Arabidopsis thaliana: one gene and its partners. The protein of the gene in region 2 interacts with the protein of the main gene of each other region in a pairwise test. Each region holds a gene or a part of one and is shown on either strand. Other genes may lie near its edges. The genes, in order: CNGC5, AT1G07860, ENODL15 and ENODL9.

Region 1 (7,616 bases), on a different chromosome or scaffold from region 2:
TGCCAAATTTCAAAACCTGATCTCCAAGCTGTAATCCACCCTCTGCTGCTGGAGATGACTCGTTTATCTCATCAACCATTGCAAAGGGAATACTAGTAACCACATCCACATCCATGGGACCGGAAGTAACACTGAAGCCAGATGTCTGCATGGAGGCAGATAAAGAATTTACTGCAGCACCTGACAAGCTTGTTTCTTCTGGACCTGCATCATTATCTATTCATAAGCTTTGTATCCACCCACGTCGTGCATATGGTTTCAAACTATAAAATGAACTTCTATTAATCATAGCCTTAAGAAAAAGGACCAGAATCAGAAAAGATGATTAAGCCAATCAAAGATTCCAAGCTGAAATTTGGAGCTTCTTCCTGTACAGTCATACCTGAATCTTTTGTGGATGAAGCTCTAGATGTAGGCCTCACTGAATGAAGAATTTGAATGTTCACATTTATCTTTTCCGTTATCTCCCCGTGCTCACTCCTTAACTCTGTGTGGGTGTAGAAACTATTTCAGATAAATAAACCAACTCAAAACGGAAGAAGTAGGGAAAAACTTAACAACTGGTTCACTGTAGAAGCTACACATCAAGCTTGATTCCTTTCAATCTCATTTCCAGCTCACAAAACTATGAATAAACCTCAAGCCAACTAGCCAAGACAAAAACCTAAACTACATATAATCAGTATGATTCTGCTATGTTTCCTAAGTTTAAACTAACCTTGGAGTTGTAGTCTCACCCTAACTATGGACTAATTCAGCACAAGAAAAGAGAAATCACCAGCAAGACGACGGCGCTCAGTTCTCACCATGGGAATGTCAATATCTTCCCGAGGAAATCCCTGCCATAAGCAAACGAATCAAAGGAGAAAATTAAGCAGAATTTTCGGTTAAGATTAGAGAAGAGTGAGGACGCAGATACAGTACCTCCGAGTCGATGAGATTGCCGGAGAGACCAGGACCACCGGGATTGCAGAGACGTTCGACAATAGAGTTCATCTCCGTCTCCATGGCTGTTCTCTTGTCCATTAGAGCCATCGTCTCCGCTTTCAGATTCGCGCCAACCATCTTCTCTTCTCTTCTCCAAGTCCGATCGATTCTTAATTCTTTCACCGAAATCAATCGCAACTTCTCTCTACCTTGGGACCGGAGCATGTCACCGTGAATATATTGTGGGCTTCATTAAAAGGCCCAATAGACCCATTCTTTAACCGGCATATGATCCTAACCGTACATTTATTAAATCCAACGGCTATAATCTCTTTGTTTCTACACTTCATATATTAATTTTACAGACAGCACAAGCAGCTTTAAAGCCAAGCAATATTTGTTTATCTCAACCGTAATGATTCCCATAAATTATAAACAATAATGTCTACAAGCTGCTCAATCATCAGTCAGCAGTGAAATCAGGCTCAGGAGGCTTCTGCAGCTTCACCAAATCCCTAATCTTTGTGTTCCGGTTCCTGTGAATGGTGCGAAGCGCATTAGCCGCAAACTTAGTGGCAAGAAATGCAGCCCCAATGGAGTATGAAGGTCCAGCGGTTGAGCTGGACACAGCCGCGGCCTCGGCTTCTGCCTCTTCCATTTTCTTCCTCTTGCAGTATCTACGCCAGGCAGCCTGGATGAAACAAGCAGCCCAAGTCCTCCATTGGTGAGAGTAAAACCTGAATGTGTGCTGCACTTGCCTGCTATGTAAGCGCCGGAACTGGCTTGCTACAAACTTCAGCTCCTCTGAGGTCAGCGCAAACGCCTCTACTTCTGTCAGAGCTTTCACGGTCCTCGTGGAAGACGGGAGATTTACACCTGATTTTGGATCCAATGCCCATGTCAGAAGCTCTTCCCCGCAGAATTCTCCTTCTTTCAGGAGACTGCGGTTGAAGAAACCGCTCCTGCCTCCATCTGTTGTCACACTCTCGAGGCGACCACGTATTATGAATAGCATCTCGTCTACAGGATCTCCTTCCCGCACTAAGTAGGTACTCTCTGTGAACAAGCATGGTTTCAGCCGCATACAGATCGCATCCAGCAGCTTGTCGTCCATGCTCTTAAACAATGGAACCTAATATTATGGTAAAAACGTATCATGAACCAAGCTAGCTTGTCGATGGTCAAGAGCTCGTTTTAGTTATGAGCCGACTGTTATTCAATGGGTCCTAGATGTTCAAAAGGGTGTGTGATCTATGTGAGAAGCTTGAATAAGGAACAGCGGGGAGAACTTACCCTTCGCACTAAAGCCAGACAGAGATGCCGCTTGATGTCTCTCCGGAGATCCTTGGGAAGATTCTGAACGAGATACTCTTCATCTACACCACGTGTCTCCAACCATTTATACTGGTCATAGCGCCTCACACGCTCCCTAAGATCTTGTGGTAACATTCTGTGATGCATCCATTGTTCTGAATCACGCCTCTTTACTCTCATTTCTTCAAGCCGGATGGTAAGAGATTGGAGATATGTCTGTCCCAAGATTGCAAAATGTTGTTAGATAGTCATTATGCAGAGGAAACAAATTATGCATGATGCTTCCATTGAAAGAGCTTACAAGAAATTTCTAATGATCACGAAAGTAGCTAAGGTTGCACCATAATTACTCACCTGCATGTTTCCAATGAGAAGAGCAAAGAGGATCAACCCAGAAATGGCGAGAGATATGGAAAATATAATCTCCATTGGGTATGTACTGGTTTCAAGCCCTTGTCCAAGTGTACTGTGGTGCAACAATGAGAAGTACTATATGAATATCTGAAACTCATAGACGCATAACTTTGATAAAGGAGCCGAGTTTAGTGAGAATTGGTAAGATCAAAGCAATAGTCTTTCGACTGAATAGTGATAGAACATGGTTACCTCAAGTTCTGAAGGCCCCACCACAAACAATAACAATATTTTACGATGAAGTTTTGGGACGAGACAATTCCAGACGATAAAGCCTGTGTATAAATCCCAAAGTCAAATGGAGGATTATTATCATCGAGGTCAGCTCGGCACTTGGACTTAAGAACAGATTCCTTGGCTCTGTTCCAAACAGCATAGCCGTCCATGTTTTGATTGCCACAGTACAAGAAATCTGTGCTGCAATTCCCTGCATCTATACAGGCCTCCTGCCAGCAGGCGTCGTTACGTTCTAAGGCTAAAAGGTACCAAAAAGCTCCAACTATCTGCAAGATACGAAACAGTGGCTCAATCAAAATAGCACTTACCAAGTCAATACTATTATTGAAGAGTAAATAAGCTATACAATCAGAGTTGCTCGTCATAAGAAACTTGACATTTGTGATCCCATGAGGCATGAACATCAACTAAGATAAAACGAAAGGTTGCATAGAACATCAAAGGTAAGCATAGACGGCTTAACCAGAAAGCTCAATAAGCTCCTTTACATGTCTTAGGAAACTAAACATTTGAACATAAGTTCATAACAGTGAAACGGATATGCAAATATTTCCTTGTTTTGCACTTTTGGTGCCACAGTCACATAACTCATGGTGAATGGGCAAGCATTGAATAGTACAAGCAACGTCTTAAAATGAAAAAGGTATATAAACTCACATGACTTGCAAGCATATATAAAAGCAGATAATAAGCGGCACCAGCCCAAGCCGTTTCAGCAAAGACACCTGCTGTCCTTTTCAATTCTGACGTCAAGGGTAAGACACGTAGGAATCGCGGTATATACTGGACCAAAACAATGAAAAGCAAGGCCTGCTTTGTAGCCAATACATCCGACCCATTTGAACTTTGCAAGAACCTCCAAACTACAATCTGCACATACACAAAATGAGTACTGTAAATCTAGAACTAGAAAGCGCTTGACAGAGATGTCTGATCACCAACTACTGGCTACTGCACCCTTTCAACAAATTAAGCAATGATGTTTTCCAACACACAATTTACTGAAATGATCAAAACTTATATTAACCAACCTGAGGGAGAGGAAGTACTGAGAGAAAGTCAATAATAAACCAACGTTGTAGATATCTCTTTGCTATCTGTGCAGGATCAATCACGAGTTCACCTCGCCCAAAGACCCGTGATGAAGGTGCAATATAAGCAGTCCTAAGCTGGAGAGCCATGTGAGCGAGATAAAACACATCGATAAAAGTCCGCAATGTACTTGCTGTGATAGCCAGTTTTCTGTCAATACCCAGGCACTTGGACTCAGCATTAATCACAGGAAGATAGAAGAAAAAAGGGTCCACAAACACTGAAAGAATACATGACGCAACGAATAATTTATTGCAATACAAAAGGAATTTATCCTGAGGATCAAATATCTTCTTTTCAGATACTTTAAGGTCTTCTGGGAACACTGCTCGATAAACACCGAAACCAAGTGAACGTCCGATCGACTTAAGCCCTTTGGAACCCTTCTGGATACCTTTCTTGAAGGATCTAGAAGTTTCATTGCTTGCATGAATAGGATGAAGTTGTCCACTGAAATTGGAGGCGTAGTTCTGTTGGAAGGCTACAGATGATGATGGTAACCTAGAGTCCAAATCATCCACCCTATAAAAGGTATGAACAACACCACTTTCAGATTACTATGCACCAACAAGCTATAGTTCAGTACAATCACACTATACTTTCATAAGGAAACAAATCAGAAACAACCATTGCCAAATCAATACGTTTCTCACATTCAAACTTCAGATCTTTGTATTAAAACAAAAGGATGCAGCACTAACCTCACAAAGTTTTCTCTTTTCCCTGCCATGATTGCTTACAAGGAATTCAGAACTCAAGAGCCTTCCAAGATCACTTGCTCAAATCGATGAAGAAAGAGCACAGCTTTAAGACTCTAATCATTAAGCAAGCTGCATCATCCCAAAATAAGACTAAAATACTTAACCTTTGAAAGACCCAAGTAAAAATAAGTCATAACCATATGAAGTTGTCAAGTTGTGCTAAAATGAAGATTAGACTAACTCTGACCAGTATGAAGCGAAGCAACATCATTACATCAACTCAAATGGATAAAAAAGGAAAAAATTTGATGAATGATGGACACCGACACATAGTAACAAATTTAAAGAGGTAGAGCTAGAGAACCAATCTTAAATTTCTCGCATAGAAAAAAGGAGAATTGAATCTTAGAACAAAATTAGAAATAGAGCAGACGTGAACTTGCTGAAGCAAGAGAAAGAGACAAAGACAAAGGCTTACATGGCTACACGGTTTCAAGGGTCCCGTTGATGAGGATAACCAGAGGAACAACTACGAACATGAAAAAGATGAAAGTGGGTATAAAGCTACCAGACAAGTGGTATCGACTTGACACAGACAAAAAAAAGAAAATGGCAACGAGAAAAGATGAAAACGAAGCAAATGACATTTTTACCCTTGATAATAGGATTAGCGTGGATTGTTTTTTTTGTCCTTCAAAAGTCAAAAAGACCTGGGCTGTGATATTATTATACAACACAAGGTGGAATGGAGGATTTTGTACAAGAAGAAGTTTACAAGGTCTTCTACATATCAAACAACCATCTCAGCTTCTTTCACACTCGAAGGAATTCCAACCTCCAGTCTCATTGTAGCTCTATAATGCTCAGGTACAACAGCGCCAGCCTGAGCACATATCTCCACAACAGCAGGTGCTTGCCCGTAGAAGCTTCGTAGCTCTCGCTGCATCGGTGGCCCATTCACATCAGGAACATGCCAAACATATCTTGGCGGTATCAAGTCGTCAAGTACTGCAGATTGCCAACCATGCTGGCCATTCCGCTGTTGGTGCTTGAATGCACCACAGTTCTGGGCCTTGTGTCCCGTTGGACCTACGTGAACCTCTGGACAGTACCCACAGACCCTAACCCTGTACATCCTCATCAGCTTTTTGGCTCCTGCTCTCATTTCTTCCCAGGCCTGTAATGTTTCTTCGGCTAAGGAGACTGTTTCTTCTTCGCTAGATGGGGGAGTGATCTCTGAGACAGGTAACTCAGTTAACAATGGCACTGGAGGAGGCTGAGGCTCTGGATCAGGCAATTCAGTTTCATCTGCATCAACAAACTCGCTTTTGCCAATGCGGATAATCGGTTTTCTTCTCCTTTTTGCTGGAAATTCGGGTATTTCAACGCCGCCCTGAATGCAGAGCTCAACTACAGCAGGAACTCGGGGAATCGAGAATCTTTCATCATGACGGATACGCTTGCCAAGGCGGTCAAAAAGGTGATAGGCTTCAAGAGGAACAATAACGTCCTCAATAACCGAGTTAGTCCATTCATGAAGACCTTTCCTTTGGGAAGTATTGGGACCTTTACACGACTTAAATGGATGCCCATAAGGTCCAACATGAATCTCATTGCACCACCTAAGAGACCAATCATACAACATCAAAAAAAGGCCATACTCAAAACAGACCAAAAATGAAACAAGAAGAAGAAGAGAATTTTTACCCACAAGCATTAACACGAACAACTTTCATAAGCCGGTGGAGATTGTTGATCAATCTGATTCTTGCATTGTATACTTTATAAGCAAGAGGCACAAGGCTCTTCACAACCATACCATTTTTAGGCGGAGGTAGAGGTCTCTTAGGTTTGTCTTTGTTGTTCTTGACTCTCTCCCTCGCAGCTCGTCTCAGGTCCACAATAGGGACTGGGAAAGGTTTCTTCTCTCGCCTTGTGTACTGCTTAGGTAAGTCTTCATTCTGAGGACGATCATTTCTCACAACTAATGGCAGAGATCGACGCTCTTTACTAAGCACAACTCTTGAATTCAACTGAAGGCTAAACTCAATGCTACTTCCCTGCACAACATATCCGCACATAACAGTAAACATTGACTCTCTACTTCAAAGGGAAGCAACGAAGTGTGGTCTAATTCTAAGAACCAAAACAACAACGAAGCAGAGTCTGGAGAATTGGATGATACTGACTAGTAAAGGAATCTGACCTGAAGAGAAGGAGAGAACCCAAATCTATAAAACGTGTTGGGATTAAGAAATTGCCTCCTGGTTACGCTATGAATAGCAAAAGGTACACTTTTTGGTGAAAACCCAGAAACTGTACTAGCTGGATAAAACAACGGAAACCAAAATCAATCACAGTCTCACAATAAATGGATAAAATTGAGCATTGAGGACGGATTCGACACACAGTGAGGAAGAAACTTACAGGAAATAGCGGAGTACGTTATCGACATCGTCGACAGTTGCTGGATTAAACCATTGGAAGATGGAGGATAAGGAAGAGAGAGCGGTCTCAGTCCCGGAGACGAAGAAGATAGCTAATGTAAATCGTGGACAAGCTTAAAGCTAATAAGTTCAAATAATGGGCCTTTAATGGGCAGAAGTTCCCATTAGGCCCACTTATAATAACATTTGTTTCCAAATTCCACAGTTGTATAACCGATCCGGCCTTTAATGTTTTCTTTCCAATTTGAATTTAGGATATTAACCAAAACTAACATTGTATTAAACACTCAGACAGAGTAATGCAAAGAAACAAGTAAACTTACAAACCGAAATCGAACCGAATTGGCTAAGAAACAAGACTAAATCACAAGCCAAAGTAACAAGTAAACCGGAAAATACAAACCGAAATCGAACCGAATTGGCTAGAGGTAATTCACAAGACTAAACCAAAAGGCCTAATGGAAGAAGAAGAAGCAAACTCCAT
Region 2 (4,019 bases):
GTTGTTTCGGATGCAGTAAGAAATCGAGCAAACGATCCGAGACTAACAAAGATACTGTCATAAATAGAAAAATTGTCGGTGGTACTACGAGCGTTGCTAAGAGTGATAAGCGAGACGATCAGACTCAGCCCAGTTCAGGTATCGAGTGATTTTGACTAATTTCGTTATTCTCTCTTCTCCACAAGCTCTCTTTTGGATTTGTTGATTTTTTTTTATCGGATACTTATGTTTAGGTTTTTCTGTATCTGTTACATTTGGGAGAGACATTTAATGGAGATTTTTTGTGATTTTTCCCCGGAGAATTTTGATGCATGTGTACTATTCACCATATAAACGATGTTGGGTTTTTGAAATCGAGCTAGTTTTTTTTGGTTTTGTCTCCTCCATGAGGGGACAAAGTGTCAAAATTGAGCCTTTGGTATCTTGCCGTGTCTGTTTTTGGTTAAGTCACATGATAACTGGTAATCGATTTTGTTACTCGTTCCATGTGTTGTAGATTCAACAAAAGTCAGTCCATATAGAGATGTAAACAATGAAGGAGGAGTTGGTAAGGAAGATCAGTTATCTTTGGATGTGAAGGGTTTGAATCTAAATGACCAAGTCACAGGGAAGAAAGCACAGACTTTTACTTTTCAAGAACTTGCAGAAGCTACGGGAAACTTTAGATCGGATTGTTTTCTTGGTGAAGGAGGTTTCGGAAAAGTTTTCAAGGGAACTATAGAGAAATTGGATCAGGTACTTGTGACAAAGAAAAATCCTATCTGTTTTTATCAATTGGCTGTGAGATTTGTCATAGTTTTGAACGGTTGGTGAAACTTGGTTCTGCTGCTAGGTTGTTGCAATCAAGCAACTTGATCGTAATGGGGTTCAAGGAATCAGGGAATTTGTGGTTGAGGTATTGACTCTAAGTCTTGCTGACCATCCGAATCTTGTGAAGCTTATTGGGTTTTGTGCTGAGGGTGATCAGAGACTACTGGTGTACGAGTATATGCCGCAAGGATCCCTTGAAGATCATCTACATGGTATGTTGTAAGATCAAATTCCTATCCTTTGCCTCTGTATTGTTTGTCTCGCAGCTACCCCCTTTTCTCATCTAACTTTTACATTGTTGTTTTGACTGTTTCAAGTTCTCCCTTCTGGTAAAAAGCCTCTTGACTGGAACACCCGGATGAAAATAGCAGCTGGTGCAGCAAGAGGTTTAGAGTATCTGCATGACAGAATGACGCCCCCTGTGATTTACCGAGATCTTAAATGTTCGAATATTTTGCTTGGTGAAGACTATCAACCGAAACTATCTGACTTTGGGTTGGCTAAAGTAGGACCAAGCGGGGATAAAACCCATGTCTCGACAAGGGTTATGGGAACGTACGGATACTGTGCTCCTGACTACGCTATGACGGGTCAGCTCACATTTAAATCCGATATATACAGTTTTGGAGTAGTCCTTCTCGAGCTTATCACCGGAAGGAAAGCGATTGACAATACAAAAACGCGTAAAGATCAGAATTTGGTTGGATGGGTATGTTTTGTCTCTTGGCTGTGACTCATAATAATCTTTACTGAAACAAGACTCATATTTTCACGGTGCTTTTTAACAGGCACGACCATTGTTCAAAGACAGGAGGAACTTCCCAAAAATGGTTGATCCATTGCTTCAGGGACAATACCCAGTTAGAGGACTGTACCAAGCACTAGCAATATCAGCAATGTGCGTTCAAGAGCAGCCTACCATGAGACCAGTGGTATCTGATGTAGTATTGGCTCTCAACTTCTTAGCCTCTTCTAAATATGATCCGAATAGCCCTAGCAGCAGCAGCGGGAAGAACCCTTCTTTTCACAGAGACAGAGATGATGAAGAGAAAAGACCACACCTCGTCAAGGAAACTGAATGTGAAGGGTCCTCATAGGATATCCAATAAGAGAGTGGTAAAAAATCAAATCTAATTTTGGCTTCACCAAGAAATTGGGGAAAAATATAAAACCAACTCAGGTACATTTTTAACATCTATTGTGGATGTAAATCTTGACTCGGCTTCTTTGTATGTAGAATGTTTCTGTTCTGTAGAAAAGGAAAAAAAAAAAAAACCATTTTGTTTTGGGACATATATACATATATTGAACAAAAACAAATATCGTTGGTCATATATATATTTTCCCGATCAAAAAGTCTGGTAAATTAGGATTAAGTAATGTCTAAAAATTCATAATGATGAATGGCAAAAGTCGTAAATATGTAATAGAAATAGGACTATGATCACGTGATGCAACTTATCCCGCGTGAACCCGTTAAGATTTTTGCCGTTAAATAACCAAAACCTAATCCAAGAAGGCTTCACAAATCTCTTCTCTCTTATCTCTCTCTACTGGTTTTGTGATTCTTGGAAGAGAAGCTACAAGATAAGACAACAATGGCGGAAAGATCATTCTCTCAGCTCCCGATCTCTTCTTCTCACATTGGCAGAAGGACAGGAAACACCCGGAGAGGGATATTTCCGGTATCGGAGTATTGGATCCATGCAATTCCGGTGATCGTTTTTCTCTGTTTCTTCACCCTCTGGATTTTCTCCCACTCAGGTTCCTTATTTCTCCGATTCTTTAATCTAAGAAAAGATTTTCCCGAGAAAATGAGTCTTTCTGATTTTGGTTTTGGTTACAGTGAGCGTCATGAACGATGGAGAGATAATGTCGATACATCGTCTTGAGAAATCCATGGCCGTGAGAAACGAGTCTCATGTCAGTTTAGCGATTCTTGCTTCCTCTGCTGTTTCACCAGCCTCCTCAGCTCTCGTCGCCGTCGTCTCTACCAATCAGAATCTCACAACTTTTCACAACGCAACTCAATCGCAGCAAAATGCAACCCAGTCGGTGAACAAAGCAAAACAGCCACACGCAGTCTAATCTCTGAACGGAGAAAAGTTTCTTTCAGTTTCTTACTGATTTCTTTCATGAACAGATAACTTTCAGGGATTGAATTTTTCTTTTCTTTGTATTTGCTTCAGTTGAAACAATAGTTTTTGATTTAGGATTGAGAATTGTTTGTGAACGACGATACACAGAATGTTTTCAACAAATTGCATAGTCATTTGAAGAAATCTTTAGTGAGTATATATCTGAATCTTGTTAATGCTGCTGAGGATGTTCAAGCTCACTGATCTCTCCATCTGCGCAATTTCCGACCCAAATATACATCGTTTGGTTTCTCCTACTCGGCAATACTCTGCAACAATCCCTCCTCGGTGACTGCACCAAACACACAATTTTAACATCATGTTATTTCAACACCGGTTTATTATATGATCTCAGCCGGTTATCTCTGTCAATTCACTAGCCAAAACCAAACCGGTATGACTATATTTGATGCAAGTTGTTAATAATGAAGCAAAGAGAAGATGTGGACCAACCTTGTGCCATCGGAGGGGATCAGGTCGCTTGAGAACGACGACTGAATCGATCTTTCCAGGCGAATCGAGCCTCCATCGGCACCCGGGAATCCGCCTTGTCTTGTCCAAGTTGTAGTATCCAATCACTTGGCGACGTCCTTCATCATACTTAGCCGAGTTTAAGTAAAACACAAATGGTCTTTGGCACGGATGCCTCGACACTGGTCTCGTGTTAAACGCGTAACCAATGTAGTCGGCTTTGCGGAACCAGTTGAGGAATGTTCTTGAAGGCATCTCAAGTTCGCGAGGGGATATGATGCCTCGGATTATCTGGACTACGAAACCCCATGAGACCGAGATGGACCAGAACCGGTTCTGGTCGTAGCAGATGGACTGCTGGAATATGCTGGCTGGGTCAAGAACTGCTGAAGACATCAAGTGTCGTAGTGCACGTGACCGCTTCATCTTTGGGAATATCGGCTGCACCACATCGATGTGGTGCAGCGACACCAAGGGAGCCACTGGGTGTGCACCTAATAACCCCAATAAGTCCCCATAAACATCGTACTGCATACATAGAAACATTAAAATTAGACGTATTCAATCCAGATAAACCGTTCTAATCCGAACCGAAACCAA
Region 3 (4,553 bases), on a different chromosome or scaffold from region 2:
TCTTCCCTGCCCTACCAAGCACCCGAATACATATCGTAAAGGTGTAAACATTCGGCTTTAACCCCAAAGTCTCCATCTCTTTAAGTAAACCCATCACAGAATCAATATCCCTTCTTTTCCCCAAACCTACCATAAGTGAAGAGTAAGTCTGCAAACTAGGTCTAAAACCTTCCAAGATCATTCTTCTATAAACCTCCATTGCCTCTGTGCAAAACCTAGACTTAAGCAGAAGATGAATCAACCCATTGTATGAATATGCATTCAACACAAAACCAAATTCTCTCATCTTCCGAAGTGCATAAGGTGCTTGCTTCAATCCACCTTTCACAGAAAGACTCTTGAAGATAGTCAAGTAAGTATTAGTATCCCTCTTTATGATTCTTTTCTGCATCAAATCAAACACATAAGCCATTTCCTCAAGTTTACCATCAACCCTCAAAGCTTCAAGCATGTAGTTACAAGTCTCAGTAGTGTGAACTAAATTCAAATTCCCAGCCACTGATTTGAAATACGAAAATGAAGAATCAGTATCAGGAAACGACTTTAAACCCCTCGTTACTTCTTCACTCGATGACAAATCAGGTTTTGAGCTCTTTCTTATCATAGAACCCGAAAAGTCAGAACTTTTCATGGAGACTACACTACATCTCATACTCTTCCTTCTCCAGTGTTTCTTCCGAGACCCAATCTTCAAAGCGTGGAACTTTAATCCTCCAGTAACCAAATTATCGCGACATTTTGCTTTGATGTTACTAACAAGACAAGCATCACCAACTGATATATCACCACACAAACTCGCAGAGCAGAGTAACGCGACCATTCTAGAGATAAGCCAAGCAAGCAAAACAATTCAATTCTCCGGCAAAAATTGAAACGAAAACAGAGATTAACGATGATGATTCATCACATTTCAAGTGGCGCAGATATAACTAACAAAACACAAACACGTGCTGAATAGCTATGAGCATTTTGATTCGTCTCCGTTCACCGGCTGAAAAGAGCGCGAGGGAGTCGATTTCGGTGAACCGGAGATTTTTGATGAAAGAATTTTCGAAGCAGAATAATAAAAAACTTGCCGAGAGGATAAAATCAGACTCGCTCCACTCGATCCTTACCGTTTTGCTTCCCTCCCAAAATATCTTTAGGCCCAATTCAGGCCCATTTTTAGGCCTCTTTTCACGACAGTCCAGGTTTCTTTGTGTTGCTGTAAATTACCTTTTTGGGTACTAAATTCAAAATTCTCATTCACTTTTGTTTTGTTTTCTTTGTTGATTGTTGATAGATCCAACTAATTTATCCAGAATTGAAAAAGAGGAAGAACAATTTAGATTAAAATAAATTTAATGTAGTAAATAACAAAGATTTCTACTTTATATTCCAAAATTAATAAATAGAATTAAGACTAATTGTCTTTTAAAAGAAGAAGGCCCATAATCCAAGAACAAGCCCAAATACGACACTAAATCCGCCGGCGAGCTTAGCGGCACCACTAGTAGGAGCTACGGCTGGACCGTCGAACTCAGATGGCGAAGGACCTGGAGAGAAAGCAGAGTTACGAGGAGTGATGACGACTAGGCGTAGCTTCTGACCCTTTTGACAATGACCCTCTGTTCCACTGACGAAGTAGACCGGACCAGCTTGGTCAAGCTTCACCTTTGTGTTCCCGTCGGTGTAGCTGGCTTTAGGGCTAGTGGTGTTGCATTTCTCGTATGCTTCTCGTGTCACTTGCAAAACCGAGTCTTTACCGGCTTCGTACTTGAATACTGTAATAAACATGTGACGATGTCAGAAACAGAGTATATTGAAGATCACACAAAATGTCTAATTGAAAAAAAAAAGTTGAAAATTATGGATTTACCGATAAAGTCGCCGACTTTGAAGCGAGCCTTTTGAGCCCATTCGTTAAAGGAGAAAGAAGAGGAAGGAGGGATCTTCCAGTCACCGGATTTTCCACCGACGGTAACCTCATTTGCATTCACGGACGAAAAGAAGAAGACAGAGATGCAGAGGAAGATGGTGACCAAAAGAGAAGAAGAAGCCATTGATTAGAATCTAAAACCTTAAAAGTATTAGAGTGTGTAATGTGTTTTAAAGTGTGTTGAGGATGGAGAGAGTGTGGATCTTGTGTGGTTTATATAAAGGTAGAGGACTTGGAAACTAGCCGTTTAGGAATTACGAAAAATTAAAAGGAAAAAATGGTAAATGTTAATGTATCCGTTGGAGAGATGATAAAGGCAACGTAACGGTTAGGATTGAGCGACAAAACTTGAACTCTGATAGAGAAAGTGATTTCACGGTCTTCTAGGAAGACTGGTCAAGCTAAGCTGTTTCTGTTTTTTGTTTTTGTACTTTACTTTTTGTTTGCTAGTGGGAACTGGGTTTATTGGGCCTTGAAGTTGATAAAAGATGAATAAAAGACATATCGCCTAAAGCCCATATGAGAAGCAGAAGACAAAAACCTCCAACTTTGGGCATAAATTTTGATTATAGTTAAAAGTCCAGACCCAATTTGGCACCTGGCTTAGTTACGATTCTAAGGCATGACACCTGCCTAATATGTTTATTACAGAAAATAAAGAGAATCAGCTAGGTGTCCCTTATTGAACACATTAACAAACTCCAACGACACTACGTGTCTTCGTGACTCTTACTATATCCAAAAACCTATAGCTAAAGCTGAATTTTCCATGATTAGTATAGTCCCAACCAAAAAAATACTGAAGAAGGCATAAGCATGGCCGGAGAAGAAGACTGGAGAAAAACAGCAGATACGACGAAGATGAGCTCGGAGGGAGTAAAAGCTGCCGGCGTTGAGTCATCAAAGAGGCCGCCAGGAAGTAATCCAGGTGGTGTTCTTCATCAACGCCGTAACTTGCCATACAGTTACACGACGATGGCTCTAGCCGGATTAGCTATCTCGGGGGCCATCATGTACACTGTTATGTATGCTAAGAAGAAGCCGGAAGCCACTGCCACTGATGTAGCTAAGGCTGCCACAGGGACGGCTAAACCTGAAGATACACATCCAAGAAAGTAAAATTTCAAGGGAAGAATTAAAGGGTTTATCTTCTTCTTCTTTTTTTGCTTTTGTAATTTTGTTCTTGCTTCATGCTCTTGTTGGAACTTCTTATTTACTTGTAATAAAATAACATAACGTGTCCAAGAATGGCTTATGTCAACTACTAGAGCAAGCAGAAGAATAAAATGGGAGGAATAGAGTAGTCTTGTGTAGCAAATGCATGCGTATAATTTAGATCACCGAATCCTCTACATTTCTCTGTGTTATGTCGCTTAAAAGTAGGGCCATTATTGTGGGCTTCTTTTGCGTATTAATATTTTTGGGCCATATCCTAAAAGATGTGTAGAGCATCATCATGCATGGCATTCAAAGACTACAAATCCGGTTTTGCAGTCTTTTGATATGACTTTGATTACGTTTTTATATTTCCAGTCTTAATGAAAAATAGAAAATTCCAATTGTTTATGGAATTTATTCAGTTTGGTTTTGATTTAGTTTTAGGGTAAATTCTCTAACAAGAAAACTCAATTTGAAAATTTCGAACGGTGTGATTATTTTGAATCGGCAATGTGGTCTTGATTACTTACTGTCAAGTGCCAAATAAAAGTTTAAGGAAAGAAATAGTAATTTTTTAGTCAACTACAAAATAATAGCAAGTTGATTCTATGAGACAATTGGTGATTCGCATGTCTTTAAAAAACGTTGATTGGCATAAAATAAGATCGTAACGTTATAAATATGAAAAAATTAGGTGAGTCCACTTAATGGCCCAGAAAAGTAAGTGTATTGACATAGGCTGTTAGGTAGAAACACTCATGTGTTGCTTTATGAGCATAAAACCTGGACGACAAACTTTTTTTTCTCTCCTCACCAACTGCACACATTTTATTTATAAATCAACATTTTCGTCTTTAAATTAGGCTGATCATCGTTTACTTTCTAATCAATTCTGATAAAACATTCAAAGTACTACTACTAAAAGCTTCAGTTCAAGTATCCACTACTTAGAAACATATCTAACGGCTCGTCCATAAGCCATAACTCATGACTAACAATTAAATATCTAAAATCTTCACTTTCCAATTTTTCAATAACAAAAAGATAGAAATTCAATGACTTAAATGAGATTTTGCATAAGTTTGGTATGTAACGTCATTAGAATCAACTCTCTCACTCGTAAATATTAATTAGAGCTACAAATTTAATAGATACGTACATTATATATATACATTGTTTTGTGCAAAATAAAACAAATGGCCACGTTATTTTTTACTTGGATAATAGGGTTTGTGTACTTATTCCTCAAACCCATATGATAACATTTCGTCATTTGGCAAATACAGCTTACTATTACGAAACTCACACCACTATTACAAAACATCCAATTGAGTCTTCTCCATATTGGTGGAGTCTTCTATCATTTTATTTCATGATGTTCAAGAAGAAAACAATAAGATAAAGATAGACCTGAAAACGACCAAAGTTATTCTGCGGAAACTATTTGTACATTCCAAATAATTCAAGTAAGTTTTAC
Region 4 (4,521 bases), on a different chromosome or scaffold from region 2:
GTGGAGGGACTGGTCGCACCTATCCACCCGGAGACTCACAAGGTGGCTTTGGATGGAAAATCCAATGATACTGTAAAACATCTTAAAAAGGGACCAGTTACAGGAGGTTGTAGAGTTGAAGGTTATGTACGTGTAAAGAAGGTAAACCTCGGACTGAAAAGTGAACACTGAATGAATGTCCTGTAATTGATTTGTGGCATGTACTGAAATTTGTCTTTTGTATGTTTCAGGTTCCAGGAAATCTCGTGATCTCAGCTCATTCAGGAGCTCATTCATTTGATTCTTCTCAAATGAACATGTCGCATGTTGTTTCTCATTTTTCGTTTGGGAGGATGATTTCTCCTAGGCTGCTGACCGATATGAAGCGATTGTTGCCATATCTTGGCCTAAGCCATGACAGGCTGGATGGAAAGGCATTCATAAATCAACATGAGTTTGGTGCCAATGTCACTGTAAGTCCCAGAAACCTTCATAGGAATTTAGAGTCTTGAACAATCGTCAAATTTTCTTTTACTGGCTCTCATCTAACTGTTTTCAACATGCTTTCTACAGATCGAACACTACCTTCAAACAGTCAAAACAGAGGTCATTACAAGAAGATCCGGTCAAGAACATTCACTGATAGAGGAATATGAATACACCGCTCACAGCAGCGTGGCTCAGACTTACTACTTACCCGTTGCGAAGTTTCACTTTGAGCTCTCTCCTATGCAGGTTCAGTCCTCATTTACACAAACAAGAGATTATCTCTCGAAAATGTCACAATATATATACTTTCCTCTTTATAATTACTCCTTGGTTGGTCTGTTTTTGCAGATCTTAATAACCGAAAACCCGAAGTCCTTCTCACACTTCATCACAAATCTGTGTGCCATTATTGGTGGTGTTTTCACGGTTAGTAATTTCTCAGTTACCTTGCGTCTTCATACCCGCATGGATTCAATGGTCATTTCTGATTTTACATGTGGATTTTTTCAGGTTGCCGGAATACTAGATTCGATTTTTCACAATACAGTAAGACTGGTAAAAAAGGTCGAACTTGGGAAAAACATTTGATCGTCCACTGGAGGTTAGAATTTTCCATTAATATATAAAACCATAGAAGAACCTCAGACTGTTTACTTTGAATAGCTGATCTACACAGAAAAACTCAAAAAAAGAGAGAATTTTTGTTTGACACAATCTTAGTTTCTTTATGGTTCTTGTTCTATTAAAATCCGCCTGGTTTTTCTTATCCTTCCATTACTATATACATATGACATCAGTAAAATACACACGAGTAGAACTTTTATTCATATACATGAAAAACAAATGGGGTAAAAAATCAAACAACAAACACCAATTGACACAAACTTGGATGAAGAGGGAAAGGGAAAAGACTCGATACAGAATGAAAAGGGAAGACAAAAGAGAAACTTCTTAGTGTAGGAATAGAGTGGAAGCTAGAGCAGCCCCAAGAAGAGCAGCGACAAATGATAAGGAAGAAGCTGCGCTGTTTGGAGTGTCTTCAGAAGTAGTAGGCGTCGGTGCTGGGGTCATCTCAAAGGTTCCCGAGACAGGTGGAGAAGGAGCGGATTCTCCTGAGGGAGCTGGGGCTGGGGACGGCGGTGATGATGCGGTGTTTTTGTTGCCGCTTCTATCAGCCATGACGATGACCACAAGCTTCTCGTTTTTCTTGCAGTTGTCTTTGTTTCCACTAATGAAATAGTATGGCCCAGAGTGGTTCAGCGTGACAGAAGTTTTGCCATCGGCGAATTTAGCGGTTGGTGAGTCCGTGTTGCAGCTGTCGTAAGCGTCTCTTGTGACTTGGAGCACTGAATCTTGGTTTGATTGGTAGACGAACACTGCATTGTATAAATTTGTGTCATATGCGAAGAAACTAAGATTGCAGTTAACGAATCAAATAGTATCAATACAGTGTGAAAAACTTACACAGAGAGTCACCAATTTGGAATCTGCTCTGTTCTGCCCATTGACTGTACACTTGAGAACCAGAAGGGACGGTCCAACCTGTTGCACCACCGACCGTAAACTCTCTAGCGTAGGCTCGGTCAACGATCATAAGAAAACACAAGAGACCAAACCCACAAAGCATCATGCTCTTTAGGTTTCGTGCCATTTCGTAAGCTAAATAACAGAGATTTTAGAAAGGTGAAGGTGAATCTAGTGTGGTATAGGGTTTGATATGAGATGATGAAAGGCAAATGGGTTTATATAAAGGTGATGCTTTTTGATTTTGAGGAAATGTTGCAGAGAAGCTTTTTATTGTCTTTTTTCAAATTCTAAGCAAAGCATAAATGCCAGAAGTGTTTCAGTTTTGGAATCTCATGTGACTTGCTTCTTCTGTCAATGGCTTTTGTTCTTTGCTTCAGAATCTTTGTGTTATATTTTATTATTACTTTTCGGATAAAGATCTTCAAGAACGAAGAGAGATTTCACAAAAACATCAAATCAAAGTACTAAGATCTTCTTCATGCCAAAAAAAAGGCCAACACTAATCTGAGATTTTGGGATTACTAGAGAACAACATACACTTTAATACTTTTATAGACCAAACAAAAGTATTAATACAACATTGTCAATATTTTTCCAACTTAGATCAATCATATAACAATCTGCTCCTTTTGATCCTTCCTCTGTTCAGCAACATCATCAAAACACCAATCTTAAGAATTTGAAGATCAAAAAAACTGATCAAGAATGGTAAGTATAGTTATCTCCTCAGTAATTAATCCATCATTAGTGCAAAAGCCGCGATTGTTGCGAAAACAAAGGACATTGAGACACTGATACCGCGTCTATGCCCTGAGCTCTTCTTAGGGAAATGTTTTGGAAGCGCACATTCTTCTCCATTGAAGAAAAGCTTTGTTGGGAAACCGTCGCCTTCGGGAATATTCAGTCCTTTGATGTTTTTCTTGGTGAAGGAGATGACAGATTGTTGCTTTCCGGGCACGGGAGGGTCTCTTAATGGATTTGTTCCATTAACTTGACCTACAAGATAGTTCATACCAGGCAAGCCTTGGAAGATAACGGTTCGATTGCTTGGTGGAACACGTGTTCCATTAAAGGAGTAAACGTTTTCATATCCTGGACCTGCCTTTCCCATATCAATCGCCACAAACCAATCCTCAAACGCGAAATCTCTCCAATTAAAAACGGTTAACCTTGCGGTCCAACCATTTTTGTAATCCGTGCTAACGTGCCAGTTAATGCTGACTCCGCAGTTATCTGGACAAGGAAGTTTCTTTGGTACTGGCATGTGATTTTGTTTAGCCCAAGCTTTAGCTTTTAAGGTTCGGTTATCGAACGGAACAAGGAGAGCGTCAGGAGGGAGGAGGAGCGGGTTACTGTTAGCATTGCAAGTGTCGGTATCGATGTCATTGCATCCGCAAGCACAAGTGTTGCAAGGAACTGCAGAGTTGTTGTAAAATGCAGAGAAAGAGACACAACATCTTGAGGCTTGGGCTTTAGGCTTGGTTATGTTGCAGACCACTTGCCAGCTGGAGATGGCGTAGGTTACAGCCAGTAGACCGCTAGGATCAGGGAATTGAGACGGGTCAACACGAACCGGTGGCCCGCATTTGTACTGAGGATTGAGAACACCGTCGATTTTCCAATGCTGAGGTGGGTATAGAGCTGTTCTGTTTAGGTCAGGAGGCAACTTGAAAACCTAACAAATTGAGAGAAAACAAAAACTTCAAAACCCGAAGATTTCTACGATCTCATAACATATTTTAAACGAAAGAGATGATTTACCTGCAATTGAAACATAGATCTAGATTTCGAAGGATCCATAATAGGTGGCAAGAGAGTTCCGTTTTTGCAACAGAAAGGTAACTTTCCTGTCATGTTATCTTCCTTCTTCTCAGGAGGCAAATCGGAAATGGCTGGTTTTCTCTGACAATTCATGACCTGGGAGAAATCTAAGTCTTTGTAATACTGTCCAGCTTTGCTATAAAGGCATTCCGATGGATCTTTCTTATGAGTGTAAGCTCCTCGCATAGTGTTTATAAACTCTCCTCGCATCCATTCAAAAGTCAGGTTCCAACGGTCTAACCGCCCGAGAGGATTATCATTGTCGATGGTCACTTGGGCTAAGTAGTTGCTGTCGAATGATTGCAGAACATCGTAGACTATGTTCAGGTCACCGTACCTTCTCGGTGCAAACTTTGTCTTTAGTCCGATCTTGTTCTTGATCTTAGGGTTTCTCTTGCAACACACGTGCATACTACCTCCTGCGCAAGATAACAAAACACACCGTTTTGAATATCACATTCACCACATCTTTTTTATTTTTGTTTGACAATTATATTAGGGAGTGTAAATATTTAATGATTTAACCTAAATTGATTCATAAACTGCAAATGCAAACGCAATTTTTTTTTTACGTTTTGCATTGCGTTCATAATTTCCCTATAAATAATATTTTGATGATAAAAAATATAAATTAGTTGCGTTTGAAACGATTTGAGTATTGATCTAACCTTTTCTTTTAGCGGCGGGACATTCCCAACCATCGTT

What was found.
Region 1: the proteins of AT1G07860 (region 2) and CNGC5 interact in a protein complementation assay, tested with the Arabidopsis thaliana proteins (one large-scale study listed by BioGRID).
Region 3: the proteins of AT1G07860 (region 2) and ENODL15 interact in a protein complementation assay, tested with the Arabidopsis thaliana proteins (one large-scale study listed by BioGRID).
Region 4: the proteins of AT1G07860 (region 2) and ENODL9 interact in a protein complementation assay, tested with the Arabidopsis thaliana proteins (one large-scale study listed by BioGRID).

What each region holds. Positions count from the first base shown.
Region 1 is NC_003076.8:23,454,214-23,461,829, reverse strand, and holds CNGC5 (cyclic nucleotide gated channel 5), read right to left. Parts: upstream 5,266-7,616; 5' UTR 5,164-5,265; exon of another isoform or gene 4,933-5,163; intron 4,815-4,932; 5' UTR 4,715-4,814; coding exon 4,686-4,714; intron 4,507-4,685; coding exon 3,924-4,506; intron 3,763-3,923; coding exon 3,550-3,762; intron 3,159-3,549; coding exon 2,848-3,158; intron 2,708-2,847; coding exon 2,596-2,707; intron 2,458-2,595; coding exon 2,221-2,457; intron 2,060-2,220; coding exon 1,391-2,059; 3' UTR 1,209-1,390; downstream 1-1,208. Other genes in the region: AT5G57950 (26S proteasome regulatory subunit), read right to left, coding at 1-204, 383-487, 779-839, 925-1,152; APO2 (APO RNA-binding protein (DUF794)), read right to left, coding at 5,476-6,307, 6,393-6,745, 6,892-7,010, 7,113-7,140; ENODL10 (early nodulin-like protein 10), read right to left, coding at 7,574-7,616. UniProt on the Arabidopsis thaliana protein: Probable cyclic nucleotide-gated ion channel.
Region 2 is NC_003070.9:2,427,821-2,431,839, reverse strand, and holds AT1G07860 (Serine/Threonine-kinase RLCKVII protein), read left to right. Parts: upstream 1-2,408; coding exon 2,409-2,574; intron 2,575-2,614; exon of another isoform or gene 2,615-2,656; coding exon 2,657-2,898; 3' UTR 2,899-2,929; downstream 2,930-4,019. Other genes in the region: AT1G07870 (Protein kinase superfamily protein), read left to right, coding at 1-138, 497-735, 833-1,022, 1,128-1,519, 1,599-1,897, 2,462-2,574, 2,657-2,898; AT1G07850 (transferring glycosyl group transferase (DUF604)), read right to left, coding at 3,121-3,240, 3,402-3,947.
Region 3 is NC_003075.7:15,399,287-15,403,839, reverse strand, and holds ENODL15 (early nodulin-like protein 15), read right to left. Parts: upstream 2,201-4,553; 5' UTR 2,043-2,200; coding exon 1,859-2,042; intron 1,764-1,858; coding exon 1,414-1,763; 3' UTR 1,211-1,413; downstream 1-1,210. Other genes in the region: PGR3 (proton gradient regulation 3), read right to left, coding at 1-820; AT4G31830 (uncharacterized protein), read left to right, coding at 2,735-3,037. UniProt on the Arabidopsis thaliana protein: May act as a carbohydrate transporter. Required, together with ENODL11, ENODL12, ENODL13, ENODL14 and ENODL15, for male-female communication and pollen tube reception and burst at the synergid cell surface of the female gametophyte.
Region 4 is NC_003074.8:7,185,335-7,189,855, forward strand, and holds ENODL9 (early nodulin-like protein 9), read right to left. Parts: upstream 2,188-4,521; 5' UTR 2,120-2,187; coding exon 1,933-2,119; intron 1,845-1,932; coding exon 1,420-1,844; 3' UTR 1,188-1,419; downstream 1-1,187. Other genes in the region: PDIL5-3 (PDI-like 5-3), read left to right, coding at 1-141, 231-452, 553-714, 817-894, 979-1,056; COBL10 (COBRA-like protein 10 precursor), read right to left, coding at 2,729-3,670, 3,757-4,235, 4,485-4,521. UniProt on the Arabidopsis thaliana protein: May act as a carbohydrate transporter. Mainly required for reproductive functions.